Linked DNA regions of Xenopus tropicalis. The protein of the gene in region 2 purifies or fractionates together with the protein of the main gene of each other region. This does not show direct contact. Links are inferred from orthologs where the notes say so. Each region holds a gene or a part of one and is shown on either strand. Other genes may lie near its edges.

Region 1 (12,068 bases), on a different chromosome or scaffold from region 2:
CATGTTGGCTCATTGAACCTGTCTTATGGCTCCTATACCCGTCATTGCCCTAGAGCAGTAACCCAACCTTTTGTTACTGGTGAGCCACAGTCAAATGTATAAAGACTTAGAGAGCAACAGCACCATAAAAGTTCATGGAGGTGCCAAATAAGGGCTAAGATTGGCTATTCGGGGCTTCTATGCACACTATCAGCTTACAGGGGCTTTATTTGGGAGTAAATCTTGTTTTTATTCAACCAAAACTTGCCCCCAAGTCAGGAATTCAAAAATAGCTTCCTGGTTTGGGGGCACTGAGAGCAACATCCAAGGGGTTGGGGAGCAACATGTTGCCCCCGAGCCACTGGTTGGGGATCACTGCCCTAGAGCCAAACAATCGAATCAGCTGAATTAGCTGAAATAGCCCATCTTTGGTGGTTAAAATGGTAGATGATCCGCTTGTTTGGTGACCTTGCCAAACAAATGGATGTTAACATGTATAGCCACATTTGAGTAGCTACACACCTATTATGTAGCTTTTGATTTGCTCCAAATAACGATTGCCTGTAGATACTCTTATCACCATTTTAAGTCATTGCAACAGCTCATTTTTGCACTCAGTTAAGATGAGTGTTGGACTGGCCCACCGGGATACCAGCAAAATTCCCATTGGGCCCAGGTGTCAGTAGGCCCTCCTGCTTTTAGCCATTTGGCCTAATTCATGGTCATTTCTTATTTTTCTATGGGAACAAAGCAACTAAATATATAGAATACATTACAGTATGTAAAGATAAAAAAAACTAGTAAAGTATTGAGACTGAGTAAGAAATGGATGACAGTAGTTTGGCGAGTGGCCCATGGTCTAGGGTTTTCTGGTGGGCCCCTGGCATCCCAGTCCGACACTGGGTCGATGTTTGAAACAGAGAGGAGCCAAAACATTTAAGGGGTGGTTCATCTTCAAGTAAACATTTTAGTATGTTATAGAATGGCCAATTCTAAGCAACTTTTCAGTGTTCCAATTTCTCTGTGAGGCTCCATTTGTATTGTTATTGTTACTTTTTCTTACTTATTTTTCTAGCCAGTTCTTCTCCTATTCAGATTTCAGGCCCTTATTCAAACCTCTACCTGGTTGCTAAGGTAACCTATGACTAAGTACCCTTGGGTACGAAACGCGTAAGGCTTTGTAAGCATTATGTGTAAGTTTCAATAAACTTTTTGTTTTTACCTCAAATATTTTGAGCTACTACAGACATCTTTTTTGAGTTCCTTTTGATTTCCTGGTTGCTAAGGTAGGTTGGACACTAGCAACCAGATAGCAGCTGAAACAAAACCGAAATAATAAAAAAAACCAGAGTCAGACTGAGTGTCCAGGGCTCACCGGAACGGCTGTCTGGGAGTCCACCACCCCAGGAAACCCCCTCCCTCATGGTATACTGCAATTCCTCCTTGCAATGGGGGGCACCTGCAGTTAGCAGAGGGAGTATAGCCCACAAGGGTTGGGACCCACTGGGTTTTTTCCTTAAGCCCCCCCACCCCAATCTGACCCTGTAAAAAACTACAAATAAAACTGAAGACCAATTACAAATTGTGACAAAAGAAAATACAACCCGTGTGCCACAAAGTGTAAACCTCAGTGAAGGGGCTCAATCAGACAGTGGTGTAGGTTTCGCCAGGTCCACTTTTATTTTTACATGGTACCAATTAAAAATTGTCTATCTCTCTACCTCATACTAAAAGCTAAAGTCAATGGTGCAACAACCCCTTTAGGGGCAACTTCAGGGGCGACTGAAACTGAAGCAATGCAATAGCAAAGATTTATCGGGTGGCTAATCTCCCCAAGTGCCACTGCCCTTAGGGTAAAGACACACGGAGCTACTCAGTAGCAGCTACTTGTCACAGCTACTAAACACCAGAAAATACCCTGCCATAGACATTACTGAGAATTGCCTCCAAAACACATGTAGAGACAATTAGCAGTAAATGATCAGCATTGCTTGTTTTTGTAGCCATGACAAGTAGTTGCTACTAGTAGCTCTGTGTGTCTTCACCCTTAATGTAATTCCTGGTTTTATGCTGCTTCTATAATTTACTCTATTTATTTCTTGACAGTAATTCTATCTATTAATGCACAAATGCCCTTGTTGTTATTCATGAGTTTGGCTCAGTAGAAAGCCTCCGCCTCTATGGTTTCGGCAAATTCCAGAGGGGCTGCTATAAGATCCCATAAACACTATTTATTGGGCTGATGGGGAGCTGTTTGGGCCTCTCTACTGCAAATACCAGGGCCTGTTTGGGGTCTCAGTCCAGTGGATGGTTGCTATGTAAAGCAATGCCAGACAACTAATGTCTCAATAATATTTGCAATGGCTGTGTCGCTTCCACAAGTGTAGTAGCAGCCAACAATGCTGAGCCAAACTGGACTGATCCATTCATTGACATGGGTGCCAGTGATTGGGTGCCAGGGGCAATTTCTTGGATCTATCAGCATAGTTGCCAACTATATGTAATCTCCCTGTGCAGTCCCTGGGTTTGGGGTAATCCACTCTGGGAAGTTATCAAGTACACAACATGCAAAACAGGGAGCAATCTGCCATGTTTACTGCTCTTTCTACCCTTTAAAATATTGCAATAGGCATGTATTTTCCACAGAAGACTGGAGAGACCTGTGTTCCCCATAAATACAGTGCTGTATTGATTAACAGAGCCACCATCAGAAATAACGGGGCCCCTCACAACAAAATTTTCTGGGCCCCCCTATAGATACCATAGGCACTTTGACGGGTAGTAAGCACAGAGCTGTCTTTAGCCTGTTAGACTCTGCACTCAACCTGTGGCAGCCTGACCACAAATGGTTTGCCCCATTTTCGGGAAAAAAAATACCTGCCGTCCTATATTTTAATGTTTTTTCCCTATTAAAGGGGTAGTTCACCTTTTTAACTTTTAATATGTTATAGAATGGCCAATTCTAAGCAACTATAGTTTTTGAATTATTTGCCTTCTGCTTCTCACTCTTTCCAGATTTCAAATGGGGGTCACTGACCCCGGCAGCCAAAAAACATTTGTTCTTTGAGGCTGTATTGTTTGTTATTGTTTCTTTTTATAACTTATCTTTCTATTCACTCTCTCAACCAGATAACTGTCTCAAGCAACCAGATAACTGTCTCAAGCAACCAGATAACTGTCTCAAGCAACCAGATAACTGCTGAAATTCCAAACTGTGGGATGGCACACGCGGCGGCACGATTTCGGCAAATCGACAAAAAAGCCTCGCGAGGCAACTTCGGCAATTTGCCGAAATCGCGCCGCCGCGTGTGCCATCCCACCGGCGACTTACATTTTCGCCGGTGGGATGGCAACTGAGGGCAACTCAGGGAGATTAGTCGCCCGGGAACAGGGAGTTTTGTCGTGGGCGACTAATCTCCCCATGTGCCAGAGCCCCAAGAGCTGCGGGAAAATAAAGCTAATAAAAAATTAAGACCAATTGTAGATTGTCTCAGAATACCACACACTGCATCTTACTAAAAGTTAACTCAAAGGTGAATTAACTCTTTAATGACATTGGCAACAGTATGGGGCACACTTTAACACCCCTTAATGCTTTTGTACTTATGCCCAGGGCCCAGTACTAGGTTTGGGGTTAGTTCTTGCCTCAGAATTACATTTATCAGTATAGTGGGGAGACAACAAGAATTATAAACAACATTCTGGCTCTGCAGGAATGTTACTAAACCTCAACTGCGATCTTTTTTTATTATATGACTGAACTTGACTGACAAAAGAGTAAGCTGAGCACTATAGTAACACATTAATAAGCGCCACATCACTTTAGGGCAGTGCTGCAAGTAGGCAGCGCTTCAACCCGGAAGTGCGTCGCTGGGTTTCCGGCGGCGAGGAACTTTACGGCAAGTGCGCTGTGCTGCTGAGAAGGCAAGCGGCTGAGATGGATGTGGGGGAGTTGTTGCGGTACCAGGTGAGCTCGCAAACAGGATAATCCGCTTGTGTCCCCTCTGTAGCGTTACCTAGTCTGTAGCGCAGTTACCCGCAGCTGTTCCAGGACTACCGCGTCCTGCGAGGGTTTTACTAACGCTAGCGCAATGTGTATGTAGTGCAGCGCAATGTGTATGGACGTGCGATTTAAAACAAGACGTAACACTTAGATTTATATAGAGGCAGAAAAGAGAATGTCTTACACTGTGCTGCCTGTATCCTGGGTCAGTGCTATGCTGAGTGAATAGACAAAGTCTTTTCTGGGTGCTAAGATAATCAATGAGTTAATAGGGGTGCTGAGGCCTGCACCAAATATCCCATTTATTAGAGAAACTTGCATCATCAGATTTGTGCTTTTTGCACTTGCCTATGGTTATGATCAGCGCTGCGCAGTCCTTCCTGCCTCCTGTGCTAGATACGCTCAGTTTCATCTATTGATGCAGGGGAACCATGGAGTCTGCTCCTGTATGGGCTGGGTACCGGCGGGATATCCGCAAAGCAGTCGCAACCCGTCTGGGATCTACGTCATGTCCCAACCGTGTAGGTAACCCGCAGGTACACAACTGGCTGGGGTGGCCACTTAGAGAATAAGGGTGAAGACACACAGAGCTACTAGTAGCAGCTGATTGTCATGGTTACTAAAATAGACAATGCTGATCATTTAACGATAATTGCTCCTACGTGTGCAGAGGCAATTCTCTGTATTGTCTATGGCAGGGGATTTTCTAGAGTTTAGTAGCCGTGAAAAAGAAGCTGCTACTAGTAGCTCCGTGTGTCTTTGCTCTAAAGGTGGCCGATTATAGCTGCCAATATCGGTCCCTTAGACTGATTCAGCAGCTAATCGGCCCGTGTATGGGCACTACCGACAGGCCTGCCCGACCAATATCTGGCCTGAAATTGGCCAGATCTCTATCGGGCAGGTTTAAAAATCTAGTTGGATCAGGGACCGCATCAGCTCATTGAGGCGGTCCCCGAACCGGCTTTGCCTATACCCGTAGTTATAATTCGATTGTTTGGCCCAAACCTGGATTTTCCCGATATCACCCACCCGTAGATGGGGATATCGGGAGAAGATCTGCTTGCTTGGTGACATCGCCAAGCGAGCGGATCTTAAGGTGTATGGGGACCTTAAGTCAGAAAAAACTAAACCTGCACACAGGTGTAATTGACAGGGGCATTCTTGACCCCTGGGGGTGCAAGTGCAGGTACCCCAAAGTGATCATTTAGCAGCACTTGTGCTCTGAAATGGAGCAGAGAGACCAATTTTCACAATGGGCCTGACTGCAGCTATTTAATTTTGCATGCAATTCTGTATCCAAGACAGAATTGTTTTTCCTGCTAGTCCCATGGCTGTCTAAGTACAGTCTTATCATGCTTTCTCTTGTGAGATTCTAAATAAATGATTGCAGGGTAGTACTTTTACAAGCAGGATCTGGTGTGGGAAGCAATTTTGGTTACCTGGAGTCGGTAGTACCCTAAACTGAGGAGTCAAAGGATTTATGTAGGGACTCTAAAGCCCTTCTAGTTCTGTCTGGGTACTGCCACTGTTTTGGGTACACAGAATTGAAGTTGGAGGTGCCCATAAGTTGAGGAGTTGGAGTAGAAGGATTTATATATTGTCTCCACAGCCCTATTCACAAGACTTATTGCAAGAACAGGAGCCCATTGTAAGCAGAGCTTGGCCAGATACTGCCTTGCTTTGCCTAATCAGGAGTGATAAGGCCTAAAGAGCTCTTCCTAGTAAGAAAAAAGTGGCCTCAAAGTTGTTGGGCCACTTAGGATGAAAAAAAAAAAGTTGCAGCGTCTAATCCGTGCAGCGCAAATGATGTGCAATTAGTCGCATCGACTTATATAGAAATCTGTGGTGGGTTAGTCGCTGCAAAATACTTTTTAAAAAGTCGAAGTGATAAATTGCCCAGTGTGTCCAGGCTCCCCCCCCCCCCCAGCACCCAATCCAATCCTGCAAGGATGTGTTTATTTGGCAACCTAATAATATAAGCAAACAAGAGGCTCTTGTATTTTCCTAGTTCAACCCACTTACCAGCTGAAGGATTCATGATGTCACTTACTCTTTCCACTATATACATATCTATAGTATTGCCTTGTTTTCTCTTTCTAGCCGGACAGAGGCACAAAACGAGGGCGAGATGATGAACCGGAAGACTTGAGACCACCGAGAAAAGAAAGAGGAGGGAGGAACTGGCACCGAGATGAGGAACGGGGGCCAACTGCAGAGGAGGATAGGAACGCATTGGATGATGGTGATGATGAGGAAGAGGTGAGAAAACTCTTGCAGTTTAATTTGTCTGCTTAATTGGAAAGTTTGTGCCACTGCTGATTAATGTATCTAAAGTCCTGGTAATCTGCAAAATTTATGACTTCATGTCATGCATGCCTTGTGCAAAGCAGCAGCTAGGTTTGGTAACACATGGACATAACTGGACTTCCTCCATGGGCTACAAGTATCCCGACAATATAATGTTTGGAACAGCCAGTTGTCTGGATACTTTTCATAATCTATTATATTTCTGTTTATAGTAGTCCTTTAGAGCCTATTGATTGGCTTGGTTTTATTGCCAGCTGTGGCACTATGCTGGTCTTATATGTTTCAAATGGGTCTTTGCCTGGGTGTTTACCAACAGACACCTGTTAGGTCGCTATTAATTTGTCCCCTATTGTTGACACAGAATGAAACACTGGATGAGGGTGCAGTGAAAAGGATGATCCTGAATTTCGAAAAGAGATCCTACAAGAACCAAGAACTACGTATCAAATTCCCAGACAACCCTGAGAAGTAAGTTCTAGAACTGCAGTACATTGCTTGTATCCTGTATATGTTGTCCATTGTATATAATCCAACCTGCAGCCTCCAGCTTTTATTGAAATACATCTCATGGCATGACAACTATAACTTGAGGCATTGTACGTACCCTGATATATAAATATAAACCACGGACACTTGCCTGTGACCCACGATTGTGCCACTTTATTTACAATAAACTTGGCATGTATCCTGGTTTCCTATACACTACAATTCTTCCCATGCCTACAGTGACTTAGAAAAGAAAGAGAACTATGGGTCATTATGGCGTTTCATTGCTTTGCCTGTACCCTGGGCGTGTCTGCATTTTAGTTTCTTTGCCTCCATTTTTTAATATGATGTTGAGAGTCTCCCACCTATCTTGCACAATGAAAATGCAAACTTTTTTTCTGCTTTTTTTTTAAAAATTTTTAGGTTCATGGAGTCAGAACTAGACCTGAATGATATTATCCAGGAGATGCATGTTATTGCCACTATACCAGATCTGTACCATCTACTTGTGGAGCTCAATGCTGTGCAGTCACTGCTTGGCTTGTTAAGCCATGAGAACACTGATATCCTTTTATATGTCTATAAAGCAGGTAACTTTGGTTGTGTTTGTCACTGTCAATTGTGGAGCTTATTGGTGCATGGGGGGGATAGATCTTACGTGTGTATGTGCTTGTATATTTTTCCCTTATTCTGGTGTTCGCACAACTGTATTAATACTTCCTTAGCCTGCCACATGTGTGCATTGCTGTGGTTGACCTGCTGCAGGAACTAACGGATATTGACACACTTCATGAGAGCGAAGAGGGTGCCCAGGTCCTTATAGATGCACTGGTAGGTAACACATTTAGATCTTTCCTTTCTCCTTATCCTTGTTTGTCCAGAAGCCAGAAAGAAGGGAATATGTCAGGTAATCATAATTGGCTACTATTAAAGTGTGAAGACATATGCAGCTACTAGTAGTGGCTACTAAAATATAGACAATGCTGATCATTTACTGATAACAGTCTCAACATGTGTTTTAGCAGAGGCAATTCTCAGTATTGTCTATGGCAGGCTATTTTTTTGGAGTTTAGCCGTGAAAAAGTAGCTGCTACTACCCTAAGGGGGCAACTAATAGAATTGGCTTATGGAAGGAGAAACATCTATTTCAGCATGCACTTCTGAGAATTGGCTATAGGCAAACCACCAGTTTGTGGTCCAGGTCTGGTGTGGTTTAGTTGGCTGTTTGTGTCATAGTATGGCTTTGTATGTGTTTCCCTCTTTCAGTGGTTTGAAAAGTGCATGAAAAGACAGTAGACTAACACACCTGTGTTGGTGGGAGGAGAGGTGACTCCCCTTTAACAAGAGTTTAGTGTGTTGAAAATCTGTGTTGTATTTGTATATTATTTTAATTAAGCAAAAATGAAAAAAATGCAACTGCTCCAGGATCTGGCATTATTAACTAAACTATGTATTCCGACAACATTAACACGATATGTCTAAATCATTATCCAAATTATTTTTTTGCTGGGAAAAGGGCAGATAAAGAAAAAAAAATCTATCCAGTAGCCTACGCTACTAGTAGAATAGGAGGTCTGCCAATGAGGGCAGTCACTGTAATGAATTCTTCCTAATCAATTTAATGTGAATGTCAGACATATAGAAGATTGGAAATACACTCGAGCAATGAAGTGTAAGATCCAACTCTAAATTATTATCTCCTGGGGAGCTGACCTGATCCTCCAAATGCTGCTTTAAGTGGGCTATAAATGATGTAATTAGTACTGGGATCGATACGTCTCATTATTTGTTTCATATGTGCTTTCTGCATGTTCCAAAGAGGCCCATATAGCCACTTCATTGGCTCTAGCTGTTCTCTTTGAAGGAAATTCAAACAAAAGTGCACTAATTAAAGGGGTTGTTGACCCCTAACTTATGATTTTTATTTTTTTTTAGAAAAAAAAATGATTTAGCTTTTATGTTGCAGCTCTCCAGTTTAGAATTTCAGCAGCTATAGGGTCAAAAAGACCCTAACAACCAGGCAGTGATATAAATGAGAGACTGGAATATGAATAGGAGTAAGTCTGAAAGAAGGATGACTAATAAAATGTAATATTAAAATTGTAGCATCACAGAGAAAAGGTTTTTGACTGTGGGGGTTAGTGACCCCCATTTGAAAGCTAAAAACAGGCAGAAGGCGGCAAATAATTAAAAAACAAACAAAAAAAAGACCAATTGAAAGGATTAAGTCATTTTATAACCTACTAAAACTTAACGTAAAAGTGAATGACCCCTTATAGGCCCATAATAAAAATACACTGAACTTTTCTACTGTTGGATTCACCTAGGATTTCATTGACACGTGTAAATCTTACAGCTGTTTCTTTGTGGCCTTGATTTCTCTGTTCTTCCTACTTGCACTTTGCCCACAGCCTTATTCTTTTTCTTTTTTTCCTTTTATTCAGTTGGAAGGTCAAGTCGTTGCTCTCCTGGTGCAGAATCTGGAACGCCTGGATGAATCTACGAAGGAGGAGGCAGATGGAGTTCACAATACCCTAGGTAAAGACATTCATACAAGTACCTGAACCATGATTTTGGTCAAATGTTCAATGCCGCCATCTTTGAGAGTGTGATTGAGCATATACTCACATTTCCCATTTCTTATCATAGCAATCATTGAGAATATGACGGAGTTTCGCCCTGAAATATGCTCAGACGCTGCACAGCAGGGACTCCTCCATTGGCTGCTCAAAAGACTGAAGGTTGGTTAACATGATGCTGATGCTTTTGTCTAATGGTCCCACCCTACTCCAGTATTGGGATGGTGGTGCTTCCATTTCCTTTCCCAGTGGAGGCGGCATGTGCCCTCTCCTTTTTGATTGGTGGTGGGGGTTCACTTCCACCCTTTGTTGCTTTCTAATACCACTGTTATACATGCATGCGTTTCTTATTGCCTCCCTCGGTATTTTGCTTGAATTAGATTCTGTGGGAATTTTTCATTCTTACTTTACCTCTCGGGTGTTGATTTTGCATCCTCCTCCTGATGTTAATTTTTTCCCCTTTAGGCCAAGATGCCGTTTGATGCCAACAAGCTGTACTGCAGTGAGATCCTGGCCATTCTTTTACAGAACAACGATGGTGAGTTGAGCTGCTAACCTCCCCTTTCTTATTTTTTTCTGATTTCCTATACATTTTTTTTCAGAAAAATATATTATACACACACCCTTGGGTACACCTAAAGTTTGTGATCCCAGTTTAAGTTAACTGCCACTAAACACTTCCAGAAACTGTTGGTCAGTCCTGCACATCAACATTGAGGTCCTTACACAACATTTCTCCAGGATTAAGGTCAGGATTTTGACTTGGCCAGTACTAAAACTATATAATAAGAATCCAATTAAACAGGTAAAAGACATTACACTTCAAAGTGACATTTGTGTATGATAAAAAGGTAAGTAACCCTCTAGGATTCTCAGTTCATTTGAAGGGTAAATTAAGGTAGCCATAGTCGCCAAGTGAGCGGTTCTGCTCCTAATATGGGCATAGATGTTGATCTAGCAAAAAATGGTTAAAGTTCGTTTCGTAGTCCTGACCTTAATCCTATAGAAATGTTGTGGAAGGAGCTGAAGCCCAGTAACATCTATGTGTTGAAGCTGTTCTGTACAGAGAAATGGGCTGCAGTTCCTCCAGGGCAATACGCATTACCAATGGTATTTAGTAGCAACTCCCATTATCTGATTTAAGGACATAAAAAAAGGGTCCTTTCGTAGGCCATGTCTATGCAGAAATATTGGAAATTCAAAAGGGTTCACACTCTTTCAAGCACCGCTGTGTAAAAGGGCACAGAATTTTTTCTGTTTCAACAGAACATGATGCATCTAAGGAAGAGGAATATTCCCATTAATTTTTATACAAGGGTTCATTTCTACAGCCAAGCTCCTTTTTTACCTTTTATCTGCCAGTGATCTCTCATATTTATCTTTGTACAATCCAGTTTCTCTGACACTGCATAGCTTCCATGATGCTTGCTCTCTTCTTTTATCCTCTACTGTGTGCCTCTTCCCCCCACCCCATCACTGTGTATTGATTCCCTCTGCTGATGGATCTGTTCTTCTCTGACATTGTCCCCCTCTCTCTCTCAGACACTCGGGAGCTACTGGGGGAGCTGGACGGAATAGATGTGCTGCTTCAGCAGTTGTCGGTGAGTGCCTCCCGCCCCTGCCTGCTCTTACACCTTGGCATTACTCAGAGAGCACAATGGCAGACTGCTGTCTCAGCTCTTACTAGAGAATGTCAATGTACACCCACTGCCTGTCACTGTCACACCTTCCGCTTTACTGACCCTGAATTCCAGTGACTTCATCTCCCTTTTCTCTGCCATTTATATTAGTGCTGTCACTTCAACTTATCACTGCTGCTCTGCAGCTACCAAGCAACAGTTTACTTATCTTTGAAAATTTTTTAAGAAACAAAATAGATTGCTTTAACTCTTATGGGCAGATTTATTAAAATATGAGTAGAGCTTAATACATAAAAACTCACCCATGTTCTATTCATTCCTGTGGGTTTTTTAGAAATGTATTTATTAAATGGTGAGTTCTAACTTTCACCCCTTGATAAATACACTTCTAAAAGTCCCACACGAATGAATAGAACATGGGTTAGTTTTTATGTATTAAGCTCTAAACTCACATTTTGATAAATGTGCCCCTTACTATTATCTCTTTCATTTATTTAGGGTAGAAACCCTCATTATTAGCTTTAGCTTTAGGTTGGGGAAGTAACCATTGCATGCCTGTGATTGGAAGGCAAACTATTGCTTAAAATTTAGTGACCAGCTCCATTCCATAACCCTAACAGTACCTTGGTCCCGCATTACAGCCTAATGGAATTATATTGTTAACAGTTATGATACAGTATACAAATCTGCCGATTTAGACTGTACTGCTGGAACAAAATCTGACTGCTGGCCAAACTGAGGAATCCAAATCTTGTTAGATAAGTTGATCTGTTCAAACTGGAGGAATAGCCCATGTTGATCACACATGCATATCCCTAACATGTTTTTGGGACAGGTTTTTAAGCGCCATGATCCAGGAACAGCAGAAGAGCAGGAGATGATGGAGAATCTTTTTGATGCACTTTGCTCCTGTCTGATGCTGAGCAGCAACAGAGACAGGTTCCTGAAGGGAGAGGGTCTGCAGCTCATGAACCTCATGCTCCGGTGAGAAATAAGTCCTAGGGATAATATAACCCATCTACAGTACATTGGAACAATATATACCCCTTACCATATATCTGTACTCTGTCGCAC
Region 2 (11,030 bases):
CTTGGGGTCGGGCTGGTGGAGGTCTGTTCTAGCTGCAGTAGGAAAACCATGGGAAAGAGAGCAGCGTGCAGGAAGTACTGACAATCAGAACTCTTTATCAGAGTATTGTAGAGTAGAAATCCATGTAAAATTAAAACCAAGGCAGCAATTAGGGTTATTCTGTCCAGTAAGCGACTCATTGGTTGTTGCTAACGTTGCTGTTTCCCTTTAGCTATTAATTGTGGAACGCGCCGGCCGCCGGACTCTCCAGCTTACTGGCCTTGGTGGAATGGCTGTTGGTGCCTTAATCATGACCATTGCTCTCAAGCTTAAGGTAAGAGTCCAGGCTCCCCCCATGCCTTCTGTTTCTGCTTCTTTGTAACGTTTGGTCATTGTGTCAGAAAGAGGCTTATTTATGGGTGGGCCTTTGCCTGGATGCAAGTTACCAACCCCTTCACATAAGCAGGGGGGCTGCAGTTATAATCGGGGGGTGCTGGCTGCGCATTGAGGTGGCTCTGGGCCCGCTTTGTGCATTCCATTCATAAATGAGCCCTCCATGTATGTAATGGGCTTCACAGCCAAACCCCCCTTGGCTGCTCTTGTACAAAGGCCGGGGGGCTTATTTATCAGTTTTTGAGTTTGTGAATGGGAATTTGAATATTGGGAGTTTTAGCACGAAAAAAACTTAGCAGTATCAGTATCACAGATAAGAATGGCCGGTGGCATAGACAATAGACAGTCCTGCCGTGCATTGTGGCCTTATTCTACTTCCATTTCCCTTCACTTATTTTCCCTTTGCAGCTTCTTTCCCGCACTTCTCATCATTTGTTGTCCCTGCATTACTGCTCAGCTGCATTTACTCTTGGCTCTGCACCTACTCTCCAACTGTTCTACTACTATTCTATGGCCTCTCCCCGCTGCCTCCTACCCCACCAAGCTTTCCACCCCATACATCACTCAGCATCTGTCTTCCTATTTGTCACATACTCTGTGCCTCCTACTTCTCAACCTTCTTCAACCTTCGCTCCTTATATCTTCTCCCACATCACTCAGAATCCCTTATTTAACAACTTACTCTCTTATAGGAACAAGACCAGGCCTGGAGCTATGTGAGCATTGTGGCAATCTATTGCTTCGTAGCCCTCTTTGAAATCGGCCCTGGGCCCATTCCTTGGTTCATTGTGGCGGAGCTCTTCAGTCAGGGTCCCAGGCCGGCAGCAATGGCCATATCCGGCTGCTCTAACTGGACTGCAAATTTCCTTGTGGGAATGTTATTCCCCTATGCGGCAGTAAGTGAGACAAAAGGGTTTTGGGAAGGAAGGTGGGGAGGTCTATTCCTCCTGTTCTTCATAGGGGAGAACTCCGGGGTCTGCTTTCTCAGTTTTCAAGTCACTCTTTATCATCTTCTTTTTTATCTTTTGTTCTATGCTCAAATTCCTAACATATCGCCTTTCCACCTTCACAGAAAGGATGTGGTCCCTACGTCTTCCTCATCTTTATGGTTCTGCTCATCTTGTTCTTCATCTACACGTTCTTCAAGGTCCCTGAGACCAGAGGCCGCACATTTGAGGACATTGCCCAGGAATTTGAGATGCCAGAGAGGTCTAGAACAAAAAGCGACAGTGTGCAGATGACAGGCATGAAAACTTTAGATGAAAAAGTATAAGGGGGCCGATGGTAATCGACTGCCACCTCCCCCAGTCTCTGATGTTGCCATGTTTGCAAGGGTTGTGGCCTTCAGAATTGTCACAAAAAGAACAAGACCCCCCCCCCAATCAGAAGAATATTAGTATATTTATGTGCATCAGCTGACATTCTGAGGGCCAGGAGAGTTTGTATGTGTCTGACTATTAGCAGTGGGATTTAGGAACCATCAGGGGACGGTGCCGTTGTGGAACGATGAACATCTTCAGGCTCTTCATGGCATGGCCTAGTAGCCCAGTCTAGTTCCATGGGCAATGCAGCACAGTGACACGTGGTGTCCCCCACACTCCAGAGACCCCCGACAGCCTTCATTGCTAGTATATGAGACCTCTCTGTGAGACTGTTGATAGGGCAGCGGCTGAGCAGTATCACTAAGTCAGAGAGTGAGCGCAGAACTAGACTGTCAGGCTCAGGGCCCCTGAGTGATTCCAACTAAAGAGCTGCTATGGGACAGCACAGATTTTTAATAATAAAGATGGATTTTTTTTTATAATAAAGGGAATTTTTATAATATAGTTTTTTTCTAAATATAATTTTATATTTTATAAATAATAATATTAATAATAATAAATAGCAACAACAGAGGGACATCATTGCCTTTAGCACAATTTACTGTCTCACAATTTACTGTCACAGCTATTCCCATTCCATTATTCCATTCCATTCCAGTCGCTTCCTCTGTTTGTGCTCCCCCCCTTTTATGTTGGAAAAATAAAACTTTATTTAAAACAATAATTGAAAAAAGATGAACTTTTCATTTTTTTTATTATTATTTGGTTTCTGTATGTGCTCTGATCTTGTACCCACTGTAATGTTACATACAGATAGATAGATAATAGATAGATAGATAGATGGATAGATAGATATATAGATAGATAGATATAGAGAGAGAGATAATATATAGATAGATGATAGATAGATAGATAGATAGATAGATAATATATAGATAGATGATAGATAGATGATAGATAGATAGATAATATATAGATAGATGATAGATAGATAGATAGAAAGATAGATAGATAGATGATGATAGATAGATAGATAGATAGATAGAGAGATAATATATAGATAGATGATAGATAGATAGATAGATAGACAAACAGATATATATAGATGATAGATAGATAGATAATAGATAGATAGGTATATAATAGATAGACAGATAGATAGAAAGATGATAGATAGATTATAGATAGATAGATAGATGATAGATAGATGATTGATAGATAGATAGATAGATAGATAATAGATAGCTAGATAGATGATAGATAGATAAATAGATGATAGATAGATAGATGATAAATGGATATACAGACAGATAATGATTGATTGATTGATCAATGATAGATAGATTGATAGATACTGACAGATAAATGATAGATAGATCAATAGATAAATGATGATAAATAGATATACAGACAGATAGATAGATAGATAGATAGATAGATAGATAGATAGATAGATAGATAGACAGACAGACAGATAGATAGATAGATAGATAGATAGATAGATAGATGATTGATAGATAGATAGTCAGATAAATGATAGATAGATAAATAGACAGATATATAGATGATAGGTAGATAGAATGACAGATAAATGATAGATCAATAGATAAATGATGATAAATAGATAGATGTATCCCAGTGCCCCCCAGTGCACTGCCCCAGGCACCCCAGACCTGCTGGGCAATTGTGTGATTCTCTTGAGATCCATTTGCCCCTCTGTACCCCCAAGTGTGGGCACAAACACCCCAGAGCCCCTTAGGGTGTCAGACGTGGGCCTGCAGCACCGGCTAAATAAAGTCCCACAGAGTTCTGTGCCCCAATTCCCATGGTACCGAGTCTGCCATAAACATACAAACACTCCTTTACCTTGTATTAAATGTCTTTATTAGCAACATCCCTCTGTGCAGCCCAGTCATATCAGTATCATTCCCCAACCCCCCCATCCATAGAGCCCCCGGGGGGTGTTTGGGCTCAGGGTACCGGGCCGGTACTGATTATATAAACACATACTGACAGGGACTGCTTCTGGGATGGGGACAATGACACAAGAACGGACTCTTGGGTGGGGTAGGGGTTAATGCTCACAGTCTGTGCTCTGAATGGAGAAATGGGACGTTACAGAGCTCTGCTCCAATGGGCATGCACTGGGTTATCAGGGGCTCATTTACTAAGGGCAGAGGTGCAAAAGTTTAACCCCTTAATGACCCACCGTGCAGTTCCACTTGCGCCTCCCCGGGCTTCCCAGAACCCCCTGCGTCTCTCAGCCCGTGCCACTTAACCCTTGGAACGCTATAGATTTACTGATTGCTGTATTTCCCTACTGTTACTGTATTGTAATATGAACACATAAATAATACATACATATATGCTACCTGTATGGCTACCTGTATGGCTATCTGTATGGCTACCTGTATAGCTACCTGTATGGCCATCTGTATGGCTACCTGTATGGCTACCTGTATGGCTACCTGTACGGCCACCTGTATGGCCACCAGTACGGCTATCTGTACGGCTACCTGTATGGCTATCTGTATATCTATCTGTATGGCTATCTGTATGGCTACCTGTATATCTATCTGTATGGCTACCTGTACGGCTATCTGTACGGCTATCTGTACGGCTACCTGTACGGCTATCTGTATGGCTACCTGTTTGACTACCTGTATGGCTTATGGCCCCCACCTGATACCCCCCATTTCTCCTGGCATTAATATAAAAGGAACCCTCCCATCACAGCTTGGGGCAGGCACTTTGCCCAAAATGCACATTTTAGTGTTTCTAGGCTGAAAACTGCTAGTCAGGGGGGGGGTTCCATTCCCAGGAATGACAGGAGCCAAGGGCGGAATTGGAACTTGGCCGCCATATTAGCTGGAACCCTAAAGCGTCAGACTAAGTGGCGCAAATAAAAATGTACAAATCCTGCGCCAACGGCACAAATACACACAAGGGATTATATACAGTTTGTGGGGCAAATGTACAGTCGGACCGGTACCGACCCAGGGAACCCGTAAGGGTAGAACAGGGAATAAACAGCGGGACCCTGGGTGAGTCTGATTGGCTCTCGTGGCGTCTGGGACCGGAACCTTCAGAGCCCAAGGAGCTCAAACACGTCCCGTAGATCCTCCATGTCGTACGGCGGCTGCAATAGAAAGTGTGGCCTTTACCAAATTATACTGAATTCCACCCAAACGAAGGGGAGAGGAATGAATGAAACTGGTTTCCTTTTAGTTTGATCCCTTGTAGCTCCTGGGCCCCCAGCTAAATCCCTGTAGGGCCCCATTACACTTAGGGAATATATATAATATACATATATATATATAGCGCTCATAGGGCTCCTTATAGCTTCAGGGCCCCCAGCACCCAGGGGATCCACCATTGTACCCCTGTTCCTTTCCCATGATTCCTTGTGCTTTATATTAGATATATTTACATTATATTAGATATATCTATATGGGCCCCCCCTGCGTTACCTGCAATATGCGCCGGAGTTTCCGCGCCAGTCGGACCGAGTTCTCGTGCAGTCCGTCCCAAGCTTCAAAGCGCCGCTCCCGGCTCTCCACAAAGGTGTTCCAGCAGTAGAAATAATCTGTTACACGGAGGCAAAGGGAGAGGGAAATGGCGTTTATCCCTACAACTCCCAGCAACCTTTGCGTGACTATTGGGAGAAGCATTAGGCCTCATTAGGCCATTCGGCAATGGGCAGTAACCCACGGCAACCAAATTCTTGCATTCATTGCTCTACCCAGGGTCGGACTGGGGGGTGCAGGGCCCCACCCCCCCAAGGGACCCCCACCGTGCCTCCCCCCACCCCTGCTGCCCACCCAACCCTCTCCCCCAAGTGCTTATACTTAGGTAAGTTGGGAGAGGGGGACCTGCGGGCCCGGGAGAACCCAGCAGGGATCAGTTCTAGGCTGCCGGGGCCCACCAGGTTTTTTCCCAGTACCCCACTGGCCCAGTCCGACCCTGGCTCTACCTGCAGCTGGCTGAAAAAAGACAATCACTGATTGGTTGCTATGGGTTACTGGCCATGGGCAAACTTGCCCAGTTTTCATAAATGAGCCCCAGCTTAGATACTGGAGGCTATAAAATATAGTTTATTGGGTTGGATTACAGCGTTGTATTGGGTCCCACCGCCATTAGGGGGCAGCTCTGATCCCCGTTAGGGTTACAAAATGCCGGAGTGCTCACCTTGTCATAAATAATAGAGGTGCAAAGACACTGGAGAAAACCCACTCAGTAACCCCAAAAATAATCACAAAAGCAAAAAGTATCTGCACACTCAGAAAAAGTAAATACAAAAAAAGTTTTATTAATTACAAAATCATATCATAAGAAAACAAAACCCAACGCGTTTCAACCCAATAAAGGGTCATCATCGGGGGCAAAAAAATTGCCTGCATGCCCCTTTTTTAAATTTTTTTCCCCTGATGAAGACCCTTTATTGGGTTGAAACGCGTTGGGCTTTGTTTTCTTATGATATGATTTTGTAATTAATAAAACTTTTTTTGTATTTACTTTTTCTGAGTGTGCAGATACTTTTTGCTTTTCTGATCGCCATTAGGGTCTGATTTGACCTGAGACAACAGCCAGTGCCCCCCCCACTTACCCTTGTAGCTCATGACAGCCAGCCGCACCCCCGCTTTCTGCAGTTTCCGCAGCCCCTCCGGCTCCGCGTTGCGCTCTTCGCAGAAATAGAGCCTGGCGCTGAAGATCCGCAGGCTGAAGTTGGGGTGTCCCTTTAAGAACTCCAGGGTGCGCTTGGCACAGTCGTAGCAGGGGCTCCAGGAGCTGAACCAAGTGACTCGGTACGCCCTGTGGGGGTCGTGTCCCACCCAGACGGACAGGTACCGCAGGAAGAGCATCTCCGCGTGGCAGCCGTTACGGTTCCGCAGGTACCCGAAGTCCAACGCGCAGGAGACTGAGCTGTATCTCCGCTTCACTATGTAGCACAGGTAGGTCTCATGGCGGCCCCGGGCCCAGCGCAGGTTCTTGTAGTGATAGAGAAACTTATTGCGCTTCAGCAGCAGGCTGTGGGGAGACACCTACCGGCTCAGCAATTCAATATTATTCTGCTACACTTGCCCTTTAATCTGCAGCCCAAAGGAGCAGTGGGACTCAGTATTTACAGCATAAAGGACACTTACCTGCCCCACAGGGTTCAAAGAACTGCCCTGCAACTGAACATTGCACTCTCCTCATATATATTTGGAATATGGGGAAGGAATATTACTTGGGGTCCCCAGTACAAGGTGGGGTAGAAGCCTTTACCTTCCCAGTAACTGGCCCACTGACTCAGTAAGGGGTCCCTAAGCCTCCCTGACCGGCTTCACAGGGGGCTATGAGTTGGACTCACACTGTTCCTTTACTGTATAACTTGCAAAGTAAAAATGCCCCATTAGCTCCTATGCGGATATTGTTTTGGCCACTAGAGGGCGACACAGTACGTATTTTAATTATATGTAGATATTTTATTGGCCACTAGATGGAGACATACTACGTAGTTTAGTTATATGTAGATATTTTATTTATATCTCGTAGTTATATGTAAGTATTTTGCTAGCCACTAGATGGCGATATTAGAGGCATTTTAGTTATAAGTAAATAAAAAATATTGTGTAAATCCAAACTGTTTGGAAAAAGCGTGTCTGTAAGCATTTGCCTACCCCTGCCAAGCTGTGGAAAACTATTAACTATAACAATCGGGGTCTGGAACCCCCCAAAAAGACACATTTAATACATGTAAGACACTTGGAATCCCGCATTATGATGATTATGATTTTTCCTTCCAGAATAGTTCCCCTTGTTGCCAGCAGGGGGCGGCTGGGGGCCGTACGGAGAGACCGGCTCTCTATTTGCAGTTGGTTTGGTTTTTATGAGATCTTTGCGTTGCTAGGGCGACTGGTGCAGTTATTATAACTGATATATATATATATAACTGAGTGCCAGTTCCCACATACAGCAGCCCTGGGCTAATGACTTGGATCCCAGTAGAATAGTGGCCCATCCTGGGTCACACAGGGGCTTATGGGGGAATGTACTGATTGGGGTCATCAGCCAACCAGGTTTTGAGCTAAGAGCTGAAATCTGATTGGCTCAGGGCTCAAAAGGCACTGTGGGCAGCGCTGCCATACTGATTACATAGTACAATACAGATACTCAGTTTGGTGCCTGTGGGGCCCCTGGTACTGTCCCTGGTATTGGTACCCTACTAACTGGTACTGTCCCTGGTACTGGTACCCTACTAACTGGTACTGCACCTGGTACTGGTACCCTACTAACTGGTACTGTCCCTGGTACTGGTACCCTACTAACTGGTACTGCCCCTGGTACTGGTACCCTACTAACTGGCACTGTCCCTGGTACTGGTACCCTACTAACTGGTACTGTCCCTGGTACTGGTACCCTACTAACTGGTACTGCCCCTGGTACTGGTACCCTACTAACTGGCACTGTCCCTGGTACTGGTACCCTACTAACTGGTACTGTCCCTGGTACTGGTACCCTACTAACTGGTACTGTCCCTGGTACTGGTACCCTACTAACTGGTACTGTCCCTGGTACTGGTACCCTACTAACTGGTACTGTCCCTGGTACTGGTACCCTACTAACTGGCACTGTCCCTGGTACTGGTACCCTACTAACTGGCACTGTCCCTGGTACTGGTACCCAACTAACTGGCACTGTCCCTGGTACTGGTACCCTACTAACTGGCACTGTCCCTGGTACTGGTACCCTACTAACTGGCACTGTCCCTGGTACTGGTACCCTACTAACTGGCACTGTCCCTGGTACTGGTACCCTACTAACTGGCACTGTCCCTGGTACTGGTACCCTACTAACTGGCACTGTCCCTGGTACTGGTACCCCAACTAACTGGCACTGTCCCTGGTACTGGTACCCTACTAACTGGCACTGTCCCTGGTACCCTACTAACTGGTACTGTCCCTGGTACTGGTACCCTACTAACTGGTACTGTCCCTGGTACTGGTACCCTACTAACTGGCACTGCCCCTGGTACTGGTACCCAACTAACTGGTACTGTCCCTGGTACCCTACTAACTGGTACTGTCCCTGGTACTGGTACCCTACTAACTGGTACTGTCCCTGGTACTGGTACCCTACTAACTGGTACTGTCCCTGGTACTGGTACCCTACTAACTGGCACTGTCCCTGGTACTGGTACCCTACTAACTGGTACTGGTACCCTACTAACTGGCACTGTCCCTGGTACTGGTACCCTACTAACTGGCACTGTCCCTGGTACTGGTACCCTACTAACTGGCACTGTCCCTGGTACTGGTACCCTACTAACTGGTACTGTCCCTGGTACTGGTACCCTACTAACTGGCACTGTCCCTGGTACTGGTACCCTACTAACTGGCACTGTCCCTGGTACTGGTACCCTACTAACTGGCACTGTCCCTGGTACTGGTACCCTACTAACTGGTACTGTCCCTGGTACTGGTACCCTACTAACTGGCACTGTCCCTGGTACTGGTACCCTACTAACTGGCACTGTCCCTGGTACTGGTACCCTACTAACTGGCACTGTCCCTGGTACTGGTACCCTACTAACTGGCACTGTCCCTGGTACTGATACCCTACTAACTGGCACTGTCCCTGGTACTGGTACCCTACTAACTGGCACTGTCCCTGGTACTGGTACCCTACTAACTGGCACTGTCCCTGGTACCCTACTAACTGGCACTGTCCCTGGTACTGGTACCCTACTAACTGGCACTGCCCCTGGTACTGGTACCCTACTAACTGGCACTGCCCCTGCTACTGGTACCCAACTAACTGGTTCTGTCCCTGGTACCCTACTAACTGGTACTGTCCCTGGTACTGGTACCCTACTAACTGGTACTGTCCCTGGTACTGGTACCCTACTAACTGGCACTGTCCCTGGTACTGGTACCCTACTAACTGGTACTGTCCCTGGTACTGGTACCCTACTAACTGGCACTGTCCCTGGTACTGGTACCCTACTAACTGGCACTGTCCCTGGTACTGGTACCCTACTAACTGGCACTGTCCCTGGTACTGGTACCCTACTAACTGGTACTGTCCCTGGTACTGGTACCCTACTAACTGGTACTGGTACCCTACTAACTGGTACTGGTACCCTACTAACTGGTACTGGTACCCTACTAACTGGTACTGGTACCCTACTAACTGGCACTGTCCCTGGTACTGGTACCCTACTAACTGGCACTGTCCCTGGTACTGGTACCCTACTAACTGGTACTGTCCCTTTAAGGTGTAGTTTCCCTTTAAAAGTGAATGATTGAACAGAGGGCTGACACAAGACTCACAAACAAACCCAACGGCTGGGGGGCCCCCGGGGGACCTGAGTAGCGAGACTGAAACTCTATTCTATTCAGTATAGCGCTGCCCAGGTTTGGCCCAGTAGAAGAATGAATGGAAGGAATGGAACCTACAGTAAAGGGAATGCGGTCGGCGAGGGAAAGGGCGGATATAGTGGATTCATTCAACCACCAGAAAGTTCTGCAGTTTATCTGTAGCACCAGGGAAAGGGCGGCCCATTTGGAGCTGCTGATTGGTGTAACTGGTTATACGTCGGCGCAATGGCCACACCCGCTTTTGCTTTCTGACGTTCCCAATAAAATGTACTTTATTCATTGTGTGCGCCAGATGCATCAGTAAAGTCTGCGCTACCTGAGCATTGAGTTGCTATGAGCCAAGTTCCCCCATAGATACAGCAGCATCTGGCACTCACAGCCCTCCCCTTTCCCTACAGAAACAAAGTGTCATCTTTACAGTCTGCGCCAGATGCATCAACAATGTCTGCGCTACATGTATATTTATTTATGAAGCCATACGGCTGATCTATAGATACGGTGCTGAGTATCTGACCCAGTACAGCCATATACACACAATAAACAGCAATTTAGTGAAGCAACAACTGCTTTTCATGGGGGGGGGGGGGGTGCATTAAAAGTCAGTGGGTGCAGGGCTACTTGAAAAACTCTGCAGTCCTAACTCTATTTGTGATTCTTAGGAAAGAGGGTTGTTGGCTTTCCCAGCAATAGCAAGCACTGTTTCCATGGATACTGTCCCTGCTGTCTCTCTGATTGGCCCAACAAATGATCTAACAGTGGCGCTGTTCTATTGCAGCCCTATGGGAATAGCTGCCCGGCAGTACAGTGTGGTGAGTCAGGGAACTGCAACTTGGCATCTATAATCTAATGGGATTTTAATTGCAATAACATTTGAATGAAGCCCCCCAGGCACAAAAGGCAGAATAATCTGCTAGATATAGAATTGCTACAGTATATATCTGTATATATATATAAATAGAAGCAATTAGCCCCC

The links.
Region 1: the proteins of aicda (region 2) and ctnnbl1 purify together in Homo sapiens (affinity purification with western blotting; 3 studies listed by BioGRID, with this or other methods). This does not show direct contact. The link is inferred for Xenopus tropicalis from reciprocal best matches to the Homo sapiens genes AICDA and CTNNBL1.

What each region holds. Positions count from the first base shown.
Region 1 is NC_030686.2:39,419,374-39,431,441, reverse strand, and holds the start of ctnnbl1 (beta-catenin-like protein 1), read left to right. Parts: upstream 1-4,398; 5' UTR 4,399-4,413; coding exon 4,414-4,503; intron 4,504-6,082; coding exon 6,083-6,241; intron 6,242-6,650; coding exon 6,651-6,757; intron 6,758-7,198; coding exon 7,199-7,338; intron 7,339-7,508; coding exon 7,509-7,606; intron 7,607-9,219; coding exon 9,220-9,313; intron 9,314-9,424; coding exon 9,425-9,516; intron 9,517-9,819; coding exon 9,820-9,892; intron 9,893-10,896; coding exon 10,897-10,955; intron 10,956-11,829; coding exon 11,830-11,978; intron 11,979-12,068. UniProt on the Homo sapiens protein: Component of the PRP19-CDC5L complex that forms an integral part of the spliceosome and is required for activating pre-mRNA splicing.
Region 2 is NC_030683.2:9,022,413-9,033,442, reverse strand, and holds the end of aicda (single-stranded DNA cytosine deaminase), read right to left. Parts: intron 6,723-11,030; coding exon 6,301-6,722; intron 5,281-6,300; coding exon 5,165-5,280; intron 4,834-5,164; coding exon 4,780-4,833; 3' UTR 3,366-4,779; downstream 1-3,365. Other genes in the region: slc2a3 (solute carrier family 2, facilitated glucose transporter member 3), read left to right, coding at 212-313, 1,065-1,268, 1,445-1,645. UniProt on the Homo sapiens protein: Single-stranded DNA-specific cytidine deaminase. Involved in somatic hypermutation (SHM), gene conversion, and class-switch recombination (CSR) in B-lymphocytes by deaminating C to U during transcription of Ig-variable (V) and Ig-switch (S) region DNA.